Kluyveromyces lactis: one gene and its partners. The protein of the gene in region 1 purifies or fractionates together with the protein of each later gene. This does not show direct contact. Links are inferred from orthologs where the notes say so. Each region holds a gene or a part of one and is shown in the gene's direction. Other genes may lie near its edges.

Region 1 (5,184 bases):
TACCAGAATATATTCAAATTAGTCTGCAACAGGTGGTGACGAACCTGCGGCGTTATGCAATCGTAACTCTATTGAATTTATGTCAGTTCATAGTTTTTCTATTCCAAGGGCATAACCATCAGCATAAATTATTTTGATAGAAATAGCTTTACCTGAACCTTCTTGAGCCAAGTAAAGGCAAGAGTGAAGATAAGGGGTTCACAGATAATGAGAGGTTAGTGTCCAATAACCGGATAGAATGATGAGCCAGAAAAGTTTTCAAGTGGTCGACACGACGAGGTTGGAACAGCTTCTTGATGATGATCGGTTCAGGTTGAATTTACAACCTGTTGATATAGAGAAAGAGCATGCGCAAGAATGCTTAGATCTCTATGTAAAAGGTGACCTTAAGGAATGTCTCGAACTGATGTATGAATATGGGCTGTTGAACAGCAACAAGATGCAAACGTCCTTAAAATCATGGCAATTAATGATGGACTGCGTGAGTCAAATGAATAATGTTGGGGTAATCGGAACGAGTCTAGATAAGCGATTGAAGGAATGGTTCACCAATGAGGAATTACTTCTAAGACTAATCAAGATGAAGCCGTTGAGTGATCAATTGATTATCACGTACCAATTCTTCTATTCTTCCTTGAAATTTTGGAAGAGAAACGTTAAACAAAACTATGAACACATCGATGAATTATCCATTTCATGCAAGGAACTACTCTTACAAACTTCAAGAAGATGCCAAACAGTAACTGAGATTCAAAACCTAAGTCAAATACTAGATTTCTTGATATTTGACGTTCAAATAGAAACGTTACAAAAGAAGGCCAGCATCACGATGTACACTCGATTTTGTCAGCTAGACGACAAATTGCAGAGCAAGCTCAAGGCGAACAAGGTGAAGCACGCTCAATCCGTGGATATAGACACCTATTTCCGCGAAAAACTACAACCTAAACCAAAGCCGAAGCCAAAATCAAAGAGTAGATCGCTGAAGCCAAAAAATCAAGTCCAGATCGGTGCAGCAACTACATCAACGTCGACAACAGCCGTAATAGCACCTGCATCTACGCAAAGGATGAATTTGTCCTATATACGACGCTTGACAACCTATCTACCTAGATGGTTACCTGTCTGGGCTCAATCGGTACAATGGTCACCGCAATTACTGGCATCGCTTATTATCTTCGCAATATCAATGGTACTACCCCTTGCAAGAAGATCAAAAACGTTCAATATCATATGGATGCACAGCAAAGATAAAGCATCCACCATAGTAAGACTTTTCATCCATGCAGTGAACACTTTAGCATCGCTATGAGATGCCTACGCACATATTCATGTATCTATATATTTATCCAAAGTTACCCTACACAACGAACATCTTCATTACCCTACCGAGACCATCAATCACGTGACTTTGGGTTCTCTCCCCCCTTCTTGTCCCCTTCCTCCCTCATAACGTCAGTGGAAGGAAGGAAAACTTGATGAAACTGAGATTTGGATTGTTTGGTGAGAAATCGATGAAAGTCGAAATTTGAAAATAATTAAAAATATACATTTGGGTTTATCAAGAACAAAACATTAGGGTTATACTATCTTTGTATGTTTTCACAATTGGAGAGGACACAAGAGGGCAGAGAAAAAGGTTTGGGCTTCGATTTTACCAGAAGATCAGGAATTTAGACAGTGTACTTATATTTAGAGGAACGAGAACGGTGTGGTAAGCCAAATATCTAACAAATTTCTTTCTCAGTTTCAAGAATAAATTTAATTTCCGCAATTATTACCCAACTTTAGACAGGCTCGGGGAACTTTTTAGCAGTGTAAGAAATAACATGGGCGATAATAGCGACAGTAAAGTGAATCTCTATCCATTAGCTTTGCTAATGGATGAATTGAAGCACGATGATATTTCTAATAGGGTTGAAGCAATGAAAAAACTGGACACCATTGCTTTAGCCTTGGGCGTTCAAAGGACGCGTGATGAATTGATTCCATTTCTAACCGAAGTGGCTCAGGATGATGAAGATGAAGTGTTTGCAGTCTTGGCTGAACAATTAGGTAATTTTGTGCCGTTTGTTGGAGGTAGAAAATATGCCACTCTGCTATTGCCTGCTTTGGAGATTCTTGCATCAACCGAAGAGACGTTGGTGAGAGAAAAAGCAGTTGATTCATTAAATATGGTAGCCGAACAGTTGACTGAGGAACAATTGCTGCATGATTTTGTGCCTTTGATTGAAAATCTTGCCACCAATGAATGGTTTTCTTCCAAAGTATCAGCTTGTGGGTTGTTCAAAGCAGTTTTCGTTAGAATTCAGGATGATAAGTTTAGAAAAGATTTGTTATCGTTGTTCTTGCAATTGATACAGGATGATACTCCAATGGTTAGAAGAGCTGCGGGCAGAAACTTACCTACCCTTGTTGACCAATTGACTGAGCATCCAGAATTGTCAACAGATGACGAATGGGACTATATCTCTAGTATGTTCCAAAGATTGGTCAATGATTCTCAGGATTCGGTGAAATTTTTGGCTGTTGATGTCTTGATCTCAATCTTGAAATTTTTCAATAAGAAAAAGGACTTCACACATACGAAGGATCTATTACAATCTTCCATTCAATTAATCGGGGACGAAGCATGGAGAGTTAGGTACATGGCTGCTGATAGATTCGAGGAACTTGCTTCTCAGTTCGTTTCGAATCCACAATATGTCAGCGAATTGTTAGAACCATTCTTAGCTTTGTGTCAAGATAACGAAAGTGATGTCAGGAAAGCCATCGCAAAACAAATTCCTGGCTACGCAAAATTGCTTAATGACCCATCTGTTATCTTAAATAGAATTATACCTGCTGCTCAGAATCTAAGCATCGATGAAACAGAATGTGTAAGGGCTTCTTTGGCTTTGGAGATTACAAACTTGGCGCCTTTGCTACCAAAGCAAGACTCAATGGATAGTTTAGTTCCAATACTTCTACATATGTTGAAAGATGAATTCCCAGATGTCCGTTTGAATATCATTGCCAAATTGAAAATCGTCAATGAATCTGTCGGAATCGAATTTCTATCTGAGAATTTGCTACCCGCCATTACAGAGCTTGCTAAGGACCCCAATTGGAGAGTAAGATTGGCCATTATTGAATATATTCCTCTTCTCGCAGAACAGTTGGGGATGGAATTCTTTGATTCTAAACTAAGTGATTTGTGTCTATCGTGGTTGTGGGACGGTGTTTACTCTATCAGAAGTGCTGCTATCACAAATCTAAGTAAACTAACTGAAATCTTTGGTTCAGATTGGGCACAAGAAGAAATCATTTCTCGTTTACTAAAGTCGGACACTCAACTGTTAGAAAACTTCAACTATAGAATCACTCTACTATTTGCATTAACTGGGTTGGTCCCCGTTGTCTCCACAGACGTTGTTGTCGAAAAGATTCTACCATTCGTAAATCACTTATCCACAGATAACGTTCCAAACATTAGATTTAACGTTGCAAAGTTCTACGCTGTCATCGTAGAAGCGTTAACGAAAAATACTAATAAGAATCACATTGAACTAATCAATAATACCATTATTCCAACACTAGAAAAACTATGTCAAGATCCTGATGTCGACGTAAGGTTTTTCTCTGCACAGAGTTTAGAAAAATGTAAATCCTTCTTGTCCTAAGCGTAGCAGAATATTATAGGGCAACATCTATATAAACATGAATAATTATCACATTTATCTACACTTTACTATGGCATGTTTTAAGTGGCGGCATAGTACTAGAATTAGTACTAGAATTAGTACTGGATTTGTTACGCGCGATATCTAATTATGTACTCAATAAATCAGTTATCCTCGGTTTTCACTTCAGTATTCGATTCCGTAGAGGTAGTTTCCGCACTTCTATCCACATCATCAATCTCATTCTGCGAGAGTTCAGCTGCTCTCTCTTTTCTAAGGTAATTTATCCATTCCGTGTAATCACCCCTGTTGCTGTTCTTCACCGTATCTTCAAGCTCCAAACCGACTAGTTTCAGTAATTTTTTGTCAACCCCTGGGCAAATATCGTTCACAAGACATAATTCACACCTTTTGCTCCTTGGCATGCAGAGTACCTGTCCAAAGCCCACCAATACTGGATTTATTTCATACCACAAAGATCTCGGTAGCCATGACTCTAACTGTTTTCTAGTATGTTCAGGTGTCTTACAGACTTTAGGATCAACCCACTTCCACATCTTTGCAAGCCTATCAACATGAACATCAACCCCAATACCATCGATCTTGGCCCACGATTTTTGTAAAGCTAAATATCCCATTTTCGGTCCTACTCCCGGTAATGACATGAAGCCTTCTATTGTGGTGGGTACATCACCGTCAAATTGATCTCGGAGCATGACAGCAGCCTTTTTAATGTAGGAAGCTTTCCTTGTGTGGAACCCAACGCTGTAAATTTCTTTGTCTAGAATTTTCTCCTCAATCTTGAGTAACGAGCCCAAGGTGATACCTTCCGGATCACCTAACTCCTCCATACAATATTCCATTATATTATGCATAGCCTTGGCATTTACCTCATCTTTGGTCTGTGAAGATAACATCAAAGAAACTAAAAGTTGTAATCTGTAGTTCTTAGGTTGCATATTTGACTTTGATATTCCAAATACACCGTTTATGGTAATTGGCAGCATTGCACATCCAACATTGTCTACTGGAGTCTTTATCATCGATCTCATAAACCTTACTTTCGAGTATATCGACACAAAATTCGAAGGCATATTAGGGTTGTCCTCGATCTGAAGCTTTCTATTAAGGGAGATGTCATCATTAGTGAATTTTTGCACATATTTAAAGTACTCATCTGTACCCATAGTTTTTATTGCCTCGATTTCGGGATCCGTTTTAATGTCATGGTTACCTTCCACCTTAACTACCACTTGGTCTTCAGGTTCCTTCTTGAAATATTTCGACACAGTTTCTAATTCCACTTCAACATTAACTCTTGGTCTCTTAGCCCTTGTCATTATTGCTCCTCTGCTTAGTCCTGATAATAATAGGATCAACGTGAGTTGCTTTGTTCTTTACCCTTATGTGCCATGTCTCATTAATCATCTCATCGCATCTCGTTTCTTGAAATCTAAAATCGGGCCAGTATAAGAACCAGAAAAATTACTGAAAAGACGAATCAGTTATATTTTAAGGAAAA
Region 2 (4,768 bases), about 110 kb from region 1:
TCTTCGGAAAACTCAGGTAAGCTGAAACAATCAAGTGCTAATAGTGCACAGGGATCAGTCCCAACCTCTATGGGTACACGTAGATCTAACTCTCCTCAAGTACTGAAATGGAATACGAATGCTTCTCCAAGCAGGCGCAACAGTGTCGACACCATGAGCCCTCAACCGTCAGCGACTAAAAGATTTTCGGACATAGGATCATATCTAACTGAAGAATCTGCTCACGGGAGTTCTTCGACGTCATCTCCGTTAGCATCAAAATTCAAGTCTCCACTATCACCACCATCAGTAAACGGCACTCTGGGTTCAATTTCAAAATCACGGAAAGTATCAAGAAATAGTTTCGGTTCTACAACGGAGGATGATGAGAGACTCTCCGCATTATCAAGGGTAAACACCGTCAGAAAGCTCAGACGACGTAGTGGGCGGAAATCTTCTTCCAACTCGAACGGTATTAGATACAAGTTGGATGTCTTACTCTGTGAACCTATTCCAATTCATAGATACAGAGTAGCAGAAGACTTGGAAAGCATTGGGTGCTCTGTTGTTTCCGCTGGAAATGGTGAAGAGTTGGTTCGTCGTGCCACAACAGGCGTAAAGTTTGACCTAATCATCACAGCAATGAAACTTCCAAAATTAGGCGCAATCGATATAGCAAAACTTATAAGACATACCAATAGTGTCAATTGCACGACACCAATAGTAGCCTTAACAGTCTATTATCACGACGCCAAAGAATCTAAGGTGTTTGATGATGTCTTGGAAAAACCTGTAAGCGTGGAACAGTTACGGAAACTTGTGTCCAAATATGCGCTACTTAAGTCACAAAACGAAGAAGACACGCTTCTGAGTGACACAGAATCTTGAACAGCGAATAGACTTCGAACTCACGAATTGTCCTAAATATATATATATATATATATATATATTTATACTAGTCAATGCATACATACATATACACACTCTCTTTTATTGTGAAAGCTATGGATATAGGAACCTTATTGATAATTATAATGAATTTGACGTAGTCCTTCTGCAGCATTCAAAAAAAATAAAAAATAAAATAAAGGGAAAACTCAGATTTAAGGAAAGAATGCACAGAACCACCCCTTAAAGAATGATATACTTACCGAAGGTGTCAGGAAGATACACACACACACACCAGAGAGCTATCAGCACAATCGAGTCCTAAGCGGTTGTAGCAGCAAGTGTGTTACATACAGGAATAATTGATACAAGCTATTATAATTGCCGCTGTTTCTTTGCTTCTTTTTTAATCATCAAGTTCCCTTATTTGACGCTCAGATTCACTACACTTTTGGTCATATAACGTTTAATAAGAGAGCAGCAACAAATTACTAAAAGCAAATATACATCATTCATTTGATAGTCTTTTCTTCACTACATTTGCAAAGCTATAGTTTCCCTTTTAAAACAAACAAGAAGTGTCTGTTTTCAGTTAATGATTCTTACTTTTTATTGGAACTTAGAACACATTATTGATTGCTTCTCTACTGTAAGACAGCTGGATTGATAGTTACAGTGAGAAATTTGCCAATTGGACACACGTATTCCTTTTTATCGTTTTGTTTAACGCTGAAAATCCTTCGCAAAGCTTCCCCAGAGTACCCCCAATTAATCGTACTCTAGATATTCCCAAGTTTAAAATAGTCAAGTATCCTCTGGTAAACCCTTTCCATTTACTAGATTTACGTATTGCAGAGGCAAAAAAAGAAGAATTCTTCGAATCGTTCTAAGCGTCTTTTAGCCTCTCTTTTTTAAATCTACAAAATAACAGCATTATTATTTGCATCGCTATTTGTTAGAGCCAGCTCAACTGTTACATTTCTGACGCTCGTAAAGTGCTTTACTGTACCCCGTCAACCGTTCTCACGTGAAGTGCCTGCAGTTTTCTACCCACAAATCAATCGATTTTTCCTTCTTTTATCAAGAAAATCGTGAAATCGTCGAATTCTGATTTTTTTCTTCCAAAGAAAAGTTTTAGGAAATCGGAAACATTAAAGTTTTCTAGTTAAAAAAGTGTAAAGAAGGAAAAAGGGTTCTTCCTTGAAGTTAAAACACCGTTGACACGGTACCTTACAATCGTCTTTGAGAATTCAAGTGTTCCCAAGCACAGTAATTGTTGGTGAGCTCGTCACAATACACGTTAATAGCAAGTTTTAAGTGCGAATTTTGGGTTTTACTTCTATTCCCCTTTCTCAAAATCAGATTTCCCTACAGTTGAAAGAAAACTGAAAAGAAAAAGATCTGATTGCGTATACTTATCTGTTACTGTAGTCTGGTGGCCAATTCCAGTGTACATCTTTTGTTTCGACTTGGTTTAAACCTTTTGTTTTATTTCTGAAAAGCAGTTTAGCTGGGATCAGTTGTTTTATCTGTATTGGACGCGTGTGTTTTATTAGATTCCTCGATAGGAAGCGTTGGTAAGAGATATGTCACAGCACGGGTTCGATTTCAAGTTCAGTCAATGCTTTGGTGATAAAGCAGATATCGTGGTTACAGAGGCAGACATTATAACGGCGTCGGAGTTCGATCATACAGGTGATTATCTTGCAACCGGTGATAGAGGTGGACGTGTAGTTTTATTTGAAAGGAACAATACAAAGCATTGCGAATACAAGTTTCTAACGGAATTTCAGTCACACGATGCAGAATTCGATTATTTGAAATCTTTAGAGATTGAGGAGAAGATTAATCAGATCAAGTGGTGTCGGCCAACGAACCAATCGCATTTCTTGTTAAGTACAAACGATAAGACGATTAAGTTGTGGAAGATATATGAGAAAAATATCAAATTGGTTAGTGATAACAATCTATCAGAGGGAAATAAAGACTACCACAGACGCTCTGCTGGGAACGGTAGCGCAAGAGCTGTACTGTCTTTGCAGACTTTGAAGTTACCCAAGCTGTCCTTACATGATAGAATTATAGCTGCTGCACCAAAGAAGATTTATAGTAATGCTCACACCTATCACATCAATTCGATATCGTTGAATTCAGATCAGGAAACGTTCATCAGTTCAGATGATTTGAGAATCAACTTATGGAATTTAGATATACCGGACGAATCATTCAATATTGTTGATATTAAACCAGCCAACATGGAGGAACTAACAGAAGTCATTACAAGTGCAGAATTCCATCCTCAACAGTGTAATGCTTTCATGTATTCTTCATCGAAGGGGACCATCAAATTATGCGACATGAGACAGAATGCTCTTTGTGATTACCGAGCTAAGGTGTTCGAAGAATACCTTGACCCAATAAGTCATAATTTTTTCACAGAAATCACTTCATCAATATCTGACGTCAAATTCAGTCCTGATGGTCGTTATATTGCATCTCGTGATTATTTAACCGTTAAGATATGGGATATTAACATGGATAATAAGCCATTGAAAACGATAAATATCCATGAACAACTAGAAGAAAGATTAAATGATACTTATGAAAATGATGCTATATTCGATAAATTCGAAGTTGCTTTCAGTGGTGATAGTTCAAGTGTAATGACAGGATCATACAACAATAACTTTATGATTTATCCCAACGTAGTAAAAACGGGCGATTATCAAGCACCTACTGGAATGGATGAAATTGTATTACAAGCAGATAAGACTGCATTTAAATCAAAGAGGTTGAGTAGTTTGCAACAGCAAAGTGCGAGAAATAAAGAATGGGGTGATGAAATTGATTTCAAAAAATCCATTCTGCATTTCTCTTGGCATCCAAGAGAAAATAGTGTTGCCATTGCAGCCACTAATAATTTGTTCATCTTCTCGGCATTGTAATTTTACTCCTCATCAAGTTGTAATCAATAGTGTTACAGTTTGCCATTTTACATACGTATATCCATATGTACATATAATCTCTAATTTTCTCGTCGAATTAAATAACATATCGAAGGTAAACTAATAGCTCGGGGCATAGCTTCAAGTGTGCTCCGGATATATTCTGGATATATGTTGTATATACGCTGTACCAGCGTATCACTTTTCGTTTTCCCCTTATTTTTTGTTCGGTTAACAATGGGGAACAATGTAAAGTTAAAGTTTTTGGAACGTAAAGTCAGTTTGTATTCATCATTCGTGAAAAAAAAGTAAGTATTGAGTTACTAAAGACGTTTGCCATAACGCTGAGCATATCGAAGTTGATGTACTGCTTGTCACAGATTCAGTACAATAGATATTGATAATGAAGAAACTTATATCTACTTATGATCATTGACACAGTGTGACGTGTTTTATTCTATTTTTCTAGGACTGAATTTACAATAAAGATAAAAAGTGTGTTTATTCTTCTTGAGTTAAATAATAATTATTTGTATGGTGGAAACTCCACTATAAAGTTTATCCATATGTTTGTTGTATTTTGAAGTATAATGCCAGATTAAACGGATGTTTGAATTCTTTTGAAGATAATTTGAGGATATTTGATAAAAGGTGTTTTAAAAGATAAAAAAACCCACAGGCAGGGGCTATCTTGATATTTCATTATGAATGGCCAAAGCCCAACAAGTTGAGATCATTTATCGAACTGTGTTTAATCGTGAGAGACGTGTCTGTTAATGACTGGGTTCCAGAACAAAGTCTTGTCACCGTCACCCCAGAAGAAAGGCTTTTGTCTTAAGTTTTGGAATTCGTAGTCTCTTGGCCATTCTTCATCTGGAACGTGCTTCAAATGTTCACGGTGCTCAGCGTGTTCAGCTTCAACGAAGTAGGTGTTGACAGCGGTCAGAGCAATAGCT
Region 3 (4,435 bases), about 300 kb from region 1:
AAATAACAAAATCGTAAATTATTAATCTCACATACCTCCATAACGTTATGTTAAGTTTCTTACCATTCTATCTGCTAATTAAATGACCTGTTCCCAGAATCAGGACTGGATAAAAAGTCTACTACATCCGTTAGTTTTTCCCAAGGAAACCCTTTAAATACAAGAGCCGGGCTCAGTAGTCTTTCGCGTCAGATTTTGAAGTCTATTTATATTTACTACTAGTTCATAAATTGGACATTGTATAGGAAAGATGCATTCCTCTACATAATATTTTTGTTAAATTAACTACCCATCATTACTTCCCTAAAACCATGTAAACTGATAGGTATGGTGCATACCAGTACAATTGGCAACAGCTTGCAACGTTAAGATTCAGTGATCTCAATTAAATTACGATTTTGACAGTTTTATTTTAAGGGAAAAAGTTGCTTTAAAACAGGAAAACGACATCAGGCAATGTTTTGCCTCAGTAAACAAAGATACAATTAATCGACAAAAGCTGGGCAGGTTCATTTTTTGTTGAACTTGAACGTCTAATATCATTTACTTCTGAGAATAGACGTAAATATCAGCTTATCTGTTTTACTTTGAGAAGGTTCGCTGCTAGGTAATTAAAGTTACTTCGAGGCTTGGAACAAGATGGGTAAGGAACAAATCAGAAAGAGACAAACTAAAAAGGTACGCAAGGGTTCACAACCCGTGGCAAATGGTAAATCTTCTGTAGTAGGGGTCTCCAAAGATGGGAAACCAGAATTTTGTGCTATTGATACGCCCATAGAAAGGAGACTTCAAACTCTCAGCGTAGCATGGTATGTCGAATGTATTCCGTTAATGATCATCATAATGTTGTTTGTTTGGGTTAACCCGTTGATGTGGTCGTTTGTAATACCATACACCATTTATTATTTCATAGACCGGACTGCCTCCAATGGGAACGCTGTGAAGAGACACTCCAAGTGGTTCCGATCTCTAAAGGTCTGGTTTTATTTCCGTGATTACTTCCCTATAAGTATGCACAAAAGCACTGAACTCGAGCCAACATTTACAAGTATTGATTCCACAGAGCTGGAAAATGATGCGAGTGAGCCAGGCTACCTGGATAGCTCACAGCCCGTTTTACCAGATAAATGGTGGAATCCTTTCAGAGAAAAGGATGAAACTGTTAGACCAACAGGACCGAGGTATATTTTTGGCTACCATCCACATGGTATAGCAGCATTCGGAGCGTTTGGAGCATTCGCTACCGAGGCATGTAATTGGAGTAAAGTTTTCCCAGGCATTCCAGTGTGTTTGCTTACTTTGGTAAATCAATTTCAAATACCAGTGTACCGTGATTATTTATTGGCCTTAGGCATAACATCGGTCGCTAGAAAAAATGCTATGAAAGTACTTGAGAAAAATTATTCAATAGCCATCGTAATTGGAGGTGCCAGTGAATCCCTTCTTACTAACCTTGGTTCATCTGATATCATTTTAAGCAAGCGGAAAGGTTTTGTGAAGTTGGCTTTGCAAACTGGGAATGTGAGTCTTGTACCTGTGTATGGATTTGGTGAAACTGATACTTACAAGATTCTGAAGCTTAAAAATGACTCTATAATAGGCAGGATACAGATATGGCTTAAAGAGAACTACAGCTTCACTGTCCCTCTATTTTTCGCTCGTGGTGTATTCAATTATGATTTTGGTTTACTACCGTTTAGACATCCAGTCAATGTTGTTGTTGGAAACCCTATTCATATTAAAGAAAAGATAGATCATCCAACAATTGAGGAGATTGATCATTACCATTCCTTATACATTGAAGAATTGAAACGTCTTTACGATGATAACAAGGCAAAATTTAACTATTCAGAAAAAACTTTAAATATAGTGGAATGAAACTCTTTACCAAAAAACTAAATAAAATATGATACTGCCTCGACGGTGAGGCAGCATTCAGTATTGTCTCTATATATCTGCATTACCACCAGACACTACAATTAAAAGTAAAATAATCCAAACCTTGCTAAAACGAAAAAACCTCCGCTTTTGTGAGTTGTACTCAGTCTCACCGTTTCCTTACTCTGTCACTAACAAATTCTCACGTAACTCATCAACAGTGACATCCTTCTTTAGTCGATCAATATATATCCTTTCCCACTTATTTATATTCCGTGCAGGTTGTTTACCTACCGTAACAAATCGTTTCGGGACTATAAGAAACCGAACATATTTTAGAACCTTTTTAGTAAGAAAAAGATTAAAGGATGGCTCTTAGCATCACAGAAGTAGAGCTGTACACGACGCAATACGATTGCAACCAGCATTTCCAGCTAAATCATGGCTATTAAGAGATTAATTAACGAGCATGATATGGAGTTATGGAATAACTCCAAGACGTTTGAAGACGTGATTGGATTTATTAATACCTTGGCATTGAGTGTACGGGGCAGAGAGAACAATGATTACACTCAACCAATTAGTGATAACGTCCAAAGAGTCTCTAACTTGTTATCAAAAGTAACAGAAATCATTGGGAAGCATGAGGTTATCAAAGATGCTAATACCTCGAGATTCGGTAAGATCGAATTTAGGGATTTTTATGATGACATTTCGGAGCACTCTAATGAGCTAATATCAAAGATATTTGAAGGCATTGAAAAACCTGACACAGGGAAGTTGGATGACATTTGTACGTATTTCATTAACTCTTGGGGGGATAGGTCAAGGATTGATTATGGTTCCGGTCATGAATTGAACTTCATATGTTTCTTGTACTGCTTGACAGAATCAAAGGTATTTGATCTGGAGAACGACAGCTCGAATATTGTATTGATGCTTTTCATTAAATATTTGGGGATAATGAGATCACTTGAGCTCAAATACTGGTTGGAGCCTGCTGGTTCTCATGGTGTTTGGGGTCTAGATGACTATCACTTTTTACCTTTTCTTTTCGGTGCATTCCAACTATCCACTCATAAGCATTTGAAACCAAAATCAATTCACAATCCAGAAGTCGTAGAAATGTTCCAAGACAGGTATCTATATTTCGGCTGCATTGCATTCATTAATAAAGTTAAAACCACAGCTAGTTTGAGATGGCATTCACCTATGTTGGATGATATAAGCGGGGTGAAACGGTGGTCAAAAGTTGCTGAAGGCATGGTAAAAATGTATAAGGCAGAGGTTCTACAAAAATTACCAATCATGCAGCATTTCTATTTCGGATATTTCTTGAAATGTCCCGAGGGCGTTAGTGAACCATCAGCACGCGCACAAGATCATCATGAAGATGATTCATGCTGTACTGATGGATCGCATGGTCATAGTACTTGGGCGGATTGTTGCGGTATTGCAGTCCCTAGTGCGATTGCGGCATCTCAAATGGCTAATAAAGACGTAAGACTATTTCCTTTTGATTGAATAATATTACATATGATGCGTATACCGAAACTTAACTACCCTTATATATACCAACATAACGTTAACAAACAATAACATAGACCGCAATTCACGATGCATTATTTACCATGCGAAACGTAATTGTGAAGCGGTAAATACTGGGGGTGTCCAGATTAATTTTTGAGGATCTATAGATCTCCTCTTATTATTCTTTAGCTTTTTGTACCTTTTCATCACATCGCTATTCAAATACAGTACATGCTGACCTCGATAGAACCTTAATATTTCTAAGGCTTTTGCAGTATGAAGAATATCAGTGGTAGTCATAGAGGAAATTGAACTAACTTCATCGATGGTGATTTCCTGGCCGTGCTCTACCAAAAGCTTAATCAAGGTGTCGGCCCAGTATGCTCTGTAAGATAACAAACCCAAATCCGATAACGGCTTTTCTGGTGATCCGACTTTACCCTCTTTCTTAGATAACTCATAAGAAAACTCGATTAATAGTCTACCGTAACCCATTCTTTGATATTGAGGTAGTGTTAAAATACATGCCACATTATAAGCATCAGCTGATTCCTTTTCCTTTGAGAAATAACCGACAATATGATGGCCTAGTTCATCACGCCTAGTCATACAGTAAAATAAAAATGGATCAACATCATAGTACAACGTTTTATGATCCAAGAAAAGTTTAGACAAAAGACATAGATTACGGCACCATGTCCTCTGTTTCCGACCATCAATTTCAAAGAAGGAAACATAGTCATCTCTATATATCTCGTTACCTGGAGGATGTCGTAGAGTACATTTCTTTCTGTATCGTTCATATTGTTTCTTTGATCCGAAATATTGTAGGGAAAAATCATCGATATATACCACATCCTCATCAGTCAACTCTATTGGATAAGGTGAAAAGTACCATGGCTCTATTTCATATTTGCCCATAATCACCTTGTTCAAATTTCTAACTCTAGCCACCTCATTCTGATTCTGTGTCATTGACCCCGATGTACGAAGCTTCTTTATTTCATCTTCTCTGGAAATATCTTCA
Region 4 (4,459 bases), on another chromosome or scaffold:
TATTTATTCAATAGTATTTTGGCTTCTTCTATGACAACTTCAGGGTTTTCTTCTTTTTCATTTTTATAGTTCAAGATTTCTTCGAATACCTCATCAGCAGTAGTTTTAGAATATTCCAATGATTTACGTTGATCTTCGACGGTTCTACCATTTAACCAAGCCTTAAGTTCTAACCATATTAGATCATTATGATTCAGTAAAATTTCATCAGGCTTGCGTTTCGCAAGTTTTGTCTTCTCACTCTTAACAATATCACCATTCAAAACGCTCGAGAGCATAGTCTGCCACTCTAGCCTTTCTCTGACTAAATGATTATTCGAGAGTTGTTCCAAAGCAAGCTGCGTTTCAATATTTGAAAAGCTCTCAAGACTGTCCGTAGAGCCACCAGTTTTATTCAACAGGTTCAATGAATTTTCTATTAGAGGGTTATTCGGTTCCACTGAGCGTAACCATTCCATCCTTTCAAGTAAGATTTTATCATTCATTAATACAAGTTCATCATCATCGATGGAATGAAAGCCTTTATCTGTTGTCGTTGCGATATTATTTCCGAAAATTGCAGAGCCCAGTCCATTATTCAATTTGCTTAGGTCATTATCAACATCATCGTTTTCTCCATCCACTCTAAAATCATCATCATCTTCATTTCCAGAAGACGTTATTCCTCGCGTGTAATAATCATCTGCTTTTTTATTTTTCATCGAGCTTAGATAAAGCTGTTCATTGAGTACGTATTGCTTTTGCAAAGGTTTGAACGATTTCGTGGTACTGGTGGTGCTATTATTCAGTGATCTAATCGATGGAGAAGACAACGTTGGAGTTAAATTTACTGTTGTAGTGGAACCATTCTGTTGTGCTGGAAAATATTGGTCCGCTGATGTGGAAACTGACATTGAACTAGCTGTTTGAGAGTTCAACGAAGCGACATTAGGCGGTACGGGATAAACCGAGGTCGATGACGGAGAATCATTGGATTGGTTCAGCGCAAATAGTTTGGAGCTTGTGAGCGAATTAGACCTTGACCTTGTTGAAAGTGCACCGCTGAGTTTGGGCGATGTTATAGTTTTCAACTGAGCTGTAGTCGGAGTCTGCGTTCCAAAGGAACCAGACACACTTGGTTTCCTTGAAGATATTGCTGAGGAGCTTGAAGAAGAAGCAGGAAAGAGCTGCCCCTGTTGATGCTGTCCATTTGGCAGAGATGTCGGAAGCGTCTGTAGAACTGGCAGTTTTTTAGTACTCAGAGTAGAATCTGATGAAAACGTAGGCGAAGCTGCTGATAAATTTCCCTTTAAAGTTTCATTTGAAGTGTCACTTGAAATCGAAGCCAGCGAATTCAGATGTGAAGTACTTCTACATTTCGAATCAGTATTGGAATTCTTATTAGAAGCCATCTTAGTCGTATATCTTTGGAATTGCTCCCTGACATATGCCTCGTCTCTGCTATCGTTGTTTTGCGACATGGCTTTAAACGACGAACTGAGAGAGGCTCAATCTAAACCAAACGTGAAGGAAAACAGATAAAGCAAAAAACAGAGCGTTACTTTGTTGTACAGTACAAACGTAAAAGTGGCCCTTTAAAAAATCCACCAATTCTCTTTCTTCCTTAAGATTGTGTAATCTCTGAAAGACCGGGAAGAATGCCCTTATAGACAATGAATTGACAAGTAGCCCCGAAAATTACAAAGCAAATCCCCTTTATTTCGAGTTTGCCGCACACCAGTTGTGTTTCTTAGCAATTATAACCTATCTTTATAACGATCTCGTCGCTGTTCTAATCCGAATGGCTGGCACACTTTAGCTACTTTGCTCGGTACCTATGAACCTTTAATTTGGTTCTTGACATGATAATTTTTTTTTTTTTAATGTTATTGATTTTTACAAAGAAAAGTTGAAATCTTTCCAGCCGTAAAGTTTGCTAAACAAAGAATATGGGGTGAACGACTCATCGCTAGGTGGTAAGGTTTATCTGTTGGGCATCTTAAGGTATTCTAGCTAGCGTTGGGATCCATGCATTAAGGGAGGATAAAATATCCCATTAGTGAGCTGTCAAAAAATTTCAATCCGTACTGAGGATATTACATATCATATTTATGGAACTCGATTGGTGTTTGGAACAGCTATATGAGGGGAAACTACTTCCTGCTGAGACGATCAGGGCGTTGTGTTTCAAATTAAAGGAATTGCTAGTGAGAGAATCTAATGTTGTTCATATCAGTACGCCTGTGACTGTTGTTGGTGACATTCACGGTCAATTCCATGATCTTTTAGAGATATTCCATATTGGTGGACCTCTGCCGTCCACAAATTACGTGTTTTTGGGTGATTATGTCGACAGAGGGTTGTACAGTGTGGAGACAATTACTTTGCTGATAACGTTAAAGCTTAGATATCCAAGCCGTATTCATCTAATTCGTGGTAATCATGAATCACGTCAGATCACCCAGAGTTATGGTTTTTATACGGAATGTTTGAACAAATTTGGCGAGGGAAGTCAAGTATGGCAGTATTTCACGGATCTATTCGATTATTTGATTCTTGCATGTATCATTGATGATACAATTTTCTGCGTTCATGGTGGACTTTCACCCAATATTCAATCCATTGATCAAATACGGATTATCGATAGGATCAGAGAAATCCCACATGATGGCGCCATGGCAGATTTGGTCTGGTCAGACCCTGAAGACGACAGAAACGATATCACTTCTTCACAATTCAAAGTCTCACCGAGAGGTGCTGGTTACACTTTCGGTAAAGCTATAGTGGACAAATTTTTTAGCATCAATGGTGTCACAAAGATGCTCAGAGCTCATCAACTATGTAACGAGGGATATCAGGATTATTTTGGAGGGAAAGTCACCACTGTTTGGTCCGCTCCCAATTACTGTTATCGTTGTGGGAATAAAGCATCTATTTTAGAATTATACTCACCAACAGACTTTCACTTTAACGTGTTCGATGAAGCTCCAGAAAATAAACTACTTACAGATCCAATGCTTAATGATAAAACTTTACATTCCTTCTTCGAAGAAGATGACGATGCACACATGGGGCAATATGACGTATTCTCCGATGAGCACCAAGCAAAATATGCTCTGAAAAGACAAGTTGACTATTTTTTATGAAGCAAATGTAACTGTATGCTTATCTCTAACTCTTTTTTCCCTTTCGCTAATGGTATAGTCCCATCTCATATTCAAATATTGAGTATAATATACAAGCTAATTTTTATAGATAAATCATATATGTTTTTACAAACTTACACATAATACAACTCCAAATTAGTTCCGTCGTGAACTTCATAATCTTCTAAAGTTATGTGATCTTTCAATACGCTACCACCTTTTTGTAGCACAATCTTGGATGCTGACGCAGTCCCCAATTGTACACTCAATACCTTCTTAAAATCACCAACAGTATCTTCGCTTAAACATTTTACATTGACTTTTTTTCCAAGACGATCGTTTACTAGTACTTCAATCATATTAAATTTGTCTATTCAAACTCAATGGTATGAAACACGGAATAAACGTGTTTAAAGAGCTTCTGTTCTTCAATCATTTAGTGCTCAGCATGTTTATAATACATTCTTTTCTATATAATTTCGTAATAGTAGAAATAAAAAAGTAAGAACTCTCTGCTCATCGACACATTTATATTACTTCTGCCACACAAGGAAGTAAACATTACCCATTGAATAGTCTTGAGCTGACAAGCAACACGATTGTCCAAAAACGTTGTTCACTAAATAGAGTACTAGTATTGGTCGTTCTTTGTGCAGACGGATGACTTTTTCTGTTTTGTTTGTGGACTCTTATGACTCGTTCACATATAATGTTGTTGAGCTGATAAAGGAGCAGGGGCAAGACATCGAGGTAATCACAATTCATAATGACACTTTTCAAAGTTACAATGAGTTGAAACCATTTTTGAGATTATTTGATGCGATTGTCATTGGTCCTGGTCCTGGTAATCCAGTGAACGGACCCACAGATATCGGTATAATTGCTTCTTTGTTTAACGATTCCGATGTTATTCCAATTCTCGGAATATGTCTTGGTTTCCAAGTCATGTGCCATGCGAATGGTGCCAGTGTTGAACAATTGGGTAATGTTAGACACGGCCAAGTATTTCAGGTTAATGTTACCGATAATAGCATTGGGCTGTACAATGGATATCCGATTGCCTTCAATTCAGTAAGATACCATTCTTTGCATGTGATTGCAGATCCTAATTCATCGACAATAATTCCATTATCAGAAACTATAGATGATGGTAAAAAAGTTCTTATGGGCGGTAGGATTAGTGGAAAACCATGGTATGGAGTGCAATATCATCCAGAATCGTGCTGTTCTGAGCTTGGTGGGAAATTGATTGCAAACTTTATCGAACTGGCAAAAGACTATAACGAAACCACTGGCCGTAAGAGCAACATTATTTCAAAGATATATGAGAATGG
Region 5 (4,183 bases), on another chromosome or scaffold:
ATTCACAACGATCTACATCGTCTCAGCTCATCAAATCTGATAAGGAAACGGAAATTTAGCGGTACTTCTTCACCCACAGATGATATTACCAACAAAACTTTGAACAAAATAAATGAAAACGTTGAGAAGTTAACCAAGATGTTGGAAAGTCACGACGCGCTACTCAAAAAAGTTGTTAGATACTTGGATATCCAGCATTCAAGGACCGATGATACGGAGAGTACTCAAAGTGACCAAAATGATGGTTCCAACAATGCTGCTGCTGCTGCTGCGGCCGCCGCTGCTGCCGTCTCGGCAGCAAGCAACGTCCTAAACCTAAACCCTTCCCTTTCAGTACCTGACATCGACCCCAACCATGATCCAAATGTGTACAGTAATGGTCACGTGAACCAGAGGTAAGACAAATAACAGAACAAGAAGTGGGAAATTACAATAACTGTTGAATTCGGAGTTCATCTACCCACACCCACACCCCCACCCCACATCCACCTCATCTCACAGGCTGGATAAACACTCAATGAATACGGAGATAATCTTCTTCTCAAAACTGAAAAAAAATCAAACACCGCTCACTGACCGTAACAACGGGTACTACTTCTAACTAAATACTGTATAAGGCCTAGAATTGACCCATAACGTTTCTAAATGTATTATAATGATAATCCCATCCTACAATCCCCCTTCTACTAGAACAAGGACCGTCCAAAATTTAGGTTTTGAATGACAATCAACATTCCGTCTTTCACAGCATCCTTGAACGAGCCACATCCCTGCCAACTACTCACCCCCGGCTGACTCTAAGAGTTTCCACGAAAACTAAGACCAAGACCAAAAATAAACCAAAAAAAAAAAAAAAAAAAATGACCTGGTCTTTGTAAGCCTTACCTGCATACAAGAAAAATGTTAACTAAAAATATTAAGCCTCGTTATTACTTACAAATCTCTCAACAGGCCGAACCCTATCAAAGTCTCAACGTAAATTCGTAGTCTCAACGGAAGAAGAAAAAAAAGGAAAATGCTCTCAATTGACTCTGTAATTCCTAACCTTTGTGACAGCTTTCTGTCACGCTTCGTATAAGATATCACTTCTGTTGAATGAAACTAAGAAAAATCCATCAGTTACTATGGAAAAATCAAGAACAAAAAGCGTAAAGATGACAGCTATACAGGAAAAGTAAGAGTAATGGTTTCGTCAATGACAACTATTAGGCTTAGATCAAAGCATTGGAAATGTGTCCTGATGTTGAGCTAATGTTGAATTGATGTGCCTGATACGATCAACCATGCAGTATAAAAGTATCCTGCTAATTCCCATTGTTTATGAGAAACATTTAGTTGCACGTTTTTCACTTTATATGCCCAATGTATATATATCATTAATAATTACTGATATGTGTATATACGTATTATTGTTAGTTTTTGTAAGCTTGTGTTTGATCTTTGTAATACAGTAGGAAAGATAAAAAAAAAAGACCAAAGAGGAAAAAAGAAAAAAGCTGATTAATCCTTTGTCCCCTTAAGTCATTCACATATAGATAACGATTTGGATAGTGCAAGACGTGAAGACAAGACAAATTAGTTAAAAGGAGAAGTTAGTTAGAAACTAAAGGCAATAGGATAAAAAGACGTTAGAAAGAGAGAGATCATTAATATTGTGGTAGCGATTTCTCGAGAAGTTTAAAAAACAAATCTGAAAATTACAAAAGGTTGAACTATTCTTAAGAGATTGTCAAAGATGAATATGAACAGACCACAGTTGAGTACGGAGTTAAGTGAGAATAAGTTTTTAGGATTGAAGAAACCAGATCAAAAAGGTATGAGACCACAAGATACCATTGCTGTTGTTACTGATAGTGAATCAGAAGATGACTTCAGGAAGAAGCCTTTTTTTAGGGTTCCCTCCCCTGGCAAGACTGCAAAGCGGACTAAGCGTGGGTCACAATCATCGGCTTATAGTACACCACCATCTCCTGGATCATTCCATCCTCCTCATCATTCTGGTAGACGCTTGTCAAGCGAGGAGATTATCAATCAAATGGAAAAAGAACAAGATGCGATGGTGATGAGACTGTTGAAAGAGATAGATTTGTTGAGAGAGGAGAACGTACGGTTGAGGCGGTCTTTGAACCAATTGTCAAGTAATCTGCATAATTCGGACGTTTCAATGAGTCTCGACCCAGTGTCGGCATCCAGACCGAATTCCTCGAGCTCTTCGTCCTTAAGTCAGTTACAATTGTCGTCACAACAACAGTCGACGTCAGGCTTACTGGGCGTTGGAATGGGTAACATAACAGGTACTTCTAGTGCGGCAAATTCAAGACGACCATCTTCGTCATCACAACTGCTGGATAACTTAACACCAGAATTGCAACGGAAACGTAACTCAGTTACAAAAAACGAAATTGATTTCATGGAAGGTTACTCCCCCACTTTGAGAACTGGCAGCACAATGTTAACTCCGAATTTATCTACAGGTATCGAATCTTTACCACGCAGAGCATCCTCTATTATGTGTGGTTCAAGAAGGAGACGATCATCTGGCAGACCTATGGAAGAGTCAGATACAATGTCGTTGTCTCCCTCTTCTGTTAGCAAGATACCGAAAAGAGCAGGCTCTCCTACAACTTCAGTTACCGTTGCAAGATGAAGCAAAATTATACTTATTATTTTCAATTCTATTAAGTGAGGTTACAGACCCTCCCGTTTCCCCTACTAGTTCGTAAGGATCACATATGAGAGGTCCAGGTAAGATGGGTAATTTAGCCTTTGCTTTTTTTTTTTTCATTACCCAATTTCAAGTTGAATTCTATTCCTAAATAGTGGATCCCCACGGTTTTCTCCCATCTCCCCTTATATATATTACCCACTATGGTGATAACCTTCGGTGGCTAGAACTCTCTATTTTACCGCTTATACACTACATAGATTTAAATTTACTCACCGTTCTTTTACCGAAGTAAGAACGATTCTACTCCCCTTCTGCATCCTGTAGGTGTGCTTGATAGAACGGAAAATTTAGAAAGGATATTTTTTAGTACGGTATAATAGTGAGTATGTTTCAGGATGATCTAAAACTTTGAAAATGTGATCAGTGACTGTTTCATCTGTGTGTGGTCAATCTCCTGAAGCTTATTCACGCTATTAGGCTGGTGACTTCTTTTTTTTTGACGTTCTTTGTAATTTCCTTTTCTGGTTATAATGACAGACTGAAATCAACAATATTTTTGGTAGACAAAGAGGCGATAGATCTGTATCCTGTGTTGGTTTGCAGAGGTCAAAGTAAAGCATAGAATTCCGAAGCAGCTTATTTCTGCGATAGAAGGCTGTCAGAACAACAAGCCAACTACAAACTATAAACAGGAAACAAATAAATAGATGTTTTCATGTAACTCGTGTTTCTTGTTGAAACGGGACGACTATTAATTTTGACCTAGATTCTGATCGTATGTATCGTGATTCATGTCAGTCTTATTGTATATAAAGTGACTGAATTCTACCGCTATCGAAAACTCTTTATGGAAACTAATCCTTATTCTGTTTCTACTTTAGCCAACTTGGTTTGATACTTATTAATTTCAGGTAGACCCTTCAGTATACAACAACTCACATCGCAATACCTTAAATTAAAATGCTATTCCCTGTTACATTCGCTTGGTTTTTGTTTGCAGGTGTTTTTGCCCAAGCACTTTCCACAAAAACTTTTACCAGTACTCTGACATCTACTTCACAAATTTGTCCAGATTGCACTACGATCACTAGTTACTCCACGATGCCAGAGCCGACAACAGAAGATGAGCCATCAACTATTACTTCAACGATCTGCCCTTCATGTACCAGGCCTTCTACAGAGGTTACAACAAAATCATCAACTGAGCCAGAAGAAACTACTACGGAACCAAATACTACCGAAAGTTTAACGGAGCCGGAGACAACAGACTGCTGGAGTACTGAATCAGTGCCTGAAGATACTACTTCAGAGGAAACTACTACCTCTGAAGAACCTTCTACTTCAAAATTGATTACTTCCTCAGAAGAAACTATCACTTCAGAACCACCTTCCACCTCGACTGAATTGACCACCTCGGAAGAACCTATTACGTCGGAAGAAACAACAACTTCGAAAGAAAGCGCCACGTCGGAGGAAAGTTCCTCTGAAACTGAAATCAGCTCTTTCACCACCCTT

The links.
Region 2: the proteins of TPD3 (region 1) and CDC55 purify together in Saccharomyces cerevisiae (affinity purification with western blotting; 14 studies listed by BioGRID, with this or other methods). This does not show direct contact. The link is inferred for Kluyveromyces lactis from reciprocal best matches to the Saccharomyces cerevisiae genes TPD3 and CDC55.
Region 3: the proteins of TPD3 (region 1) and RRD2 purify together in Saccharomyces cerevisiae (affinity purification with western blotting; 4 studies listed by BioGRID, with this or other methods). This does not show direct contact. The link is inferred for Kluyveromyces lactis from reciprocal best matches to the Saccharomyces cerevisiae genes TPD3 and RRD2.
Region 4: the proteins of TPD3 (region 1) and PPG1 purify together in Saccharomyces cerevisiae (affinity purification with mass spectrometry; 5 studies listed by BioGRID, with this or other methods). This does not show direct contact. The link is inferred for Kluyveromyces lactis from reciprocal best matches to the Saccharomyces cerevisiae genes TPD3 and PPG1.
Region 5: the proteins of TPD3 (region 1) and RTS3 purify together in Saccharomyces cerevisiae (affinity purification with mass spectrometry; 4 studies listed by BioGRID). This does not show direct contact. The link is inferred for Kluyveromyces lactis from reciprocal best matches to the Saccharomyces cerevisiae genes TPD3 and RTS3.

Annotation. Positions count from the first base shown.
Region 1 is NC_006042.1:726,003-731,186, forward strand, and holds TPD3 (protein phosphatase 2A structural subunit TPD3), read left to right. Parts: upstream 1-1,829; coding exon 1,830-3,662; downstream 3,663-5,184. Other genes in the region: PEX15 (Pex15p), read left to right, coding at 239-1,312; KLLA0_F07711g (endonuclease III domain-containing protein), read right to left, coding at 3,827-5,002. UniProt on the Saccharomyces cerevisiae protein: Phosphatase 2A affects a variety of biological processes in the cell such as transcription, cell cycle progression and cellular morphogenesis, and provides an initial identification of critical substrates for this phosphatase.
Region 2 is NC_006042.1:840,138-844,905, forward strand, and holds CDC55 (protein phosphatase 2A regulatory subunit CDC55), read left to right. Parts: upstream 1-2,453; coding exon 2,454-3,812; downstream 3,813-4,768. Other genes in the region: COX13 (cytochrome c oxidase subunit VIa), read right to left, coding at 4,564-4,768.
Region 3 is NC_006042.1:1,029,520-1,033,954, forward strand, and holds RRD2 (peptidylprolyl isomerase RRD2), read left to right. Parts: upstream 1-2,319; coding exon 2,320-3,402; downstream 3,403-4,435. Other genes in the region: DGA1 (diacylglycerol O-acyltransferase), read left to right, coding at 640-1,878; NuA4 histone acetyltransferase complex catalytic subunit ESA1, read right to left, coding at 3,505-4,435. UniProt on the Saccharomyces cerevisiae protein: PPIases accelerate the folding of proteins. It catalyzes the cis-trans isomerization of proline imidic peptide bonds in oligopeptides.
Region 4 is NC_006039.1:741,555-746,013, reverse strand, and holds PPG1 (putative serine/threonine-protein kinase PPG1), read left to right. Parts: upstream 1-2,090; coding exon 2,091-3,125; downstream 3,126-4,459. Other genes in the region: mitogen-activated protein kinase kinase kinase SSK2, read right to left, coding at 1-1,460; ubiquitin-like protein HUB1, read right to left, coding at 3,260-3,484; ABZ1 (4-amino-4-deoxychorismate synthase), read left to right, coding at 3,786-4,459. UniProt on the Saccharomyces cerevisiae protein: Involved in glycogen accumulation.
Region 5 is NC_006039.1:994,082-998,264, reverse strand, and holds RTS3 (Rts3p), read left to right. Parts: upstream 1-1,735; coding exon 1,736-2,647; downstream 2,648-4,183. Other genes in the region: KLLA0_C11561g (uncharacterized protein), read left to right, coding at 1-399; KLLA0_C11517g (gag-pol fusion protein), read left to right, coding at 3,629-4,183. UniProt on the Saccharomyces cerevisiae protein: May be a component of a protein phosphatase type 2A (PP2A) complex. Negatively regulates SIT4 phosphatase, a modulators of caffeine sensitivity.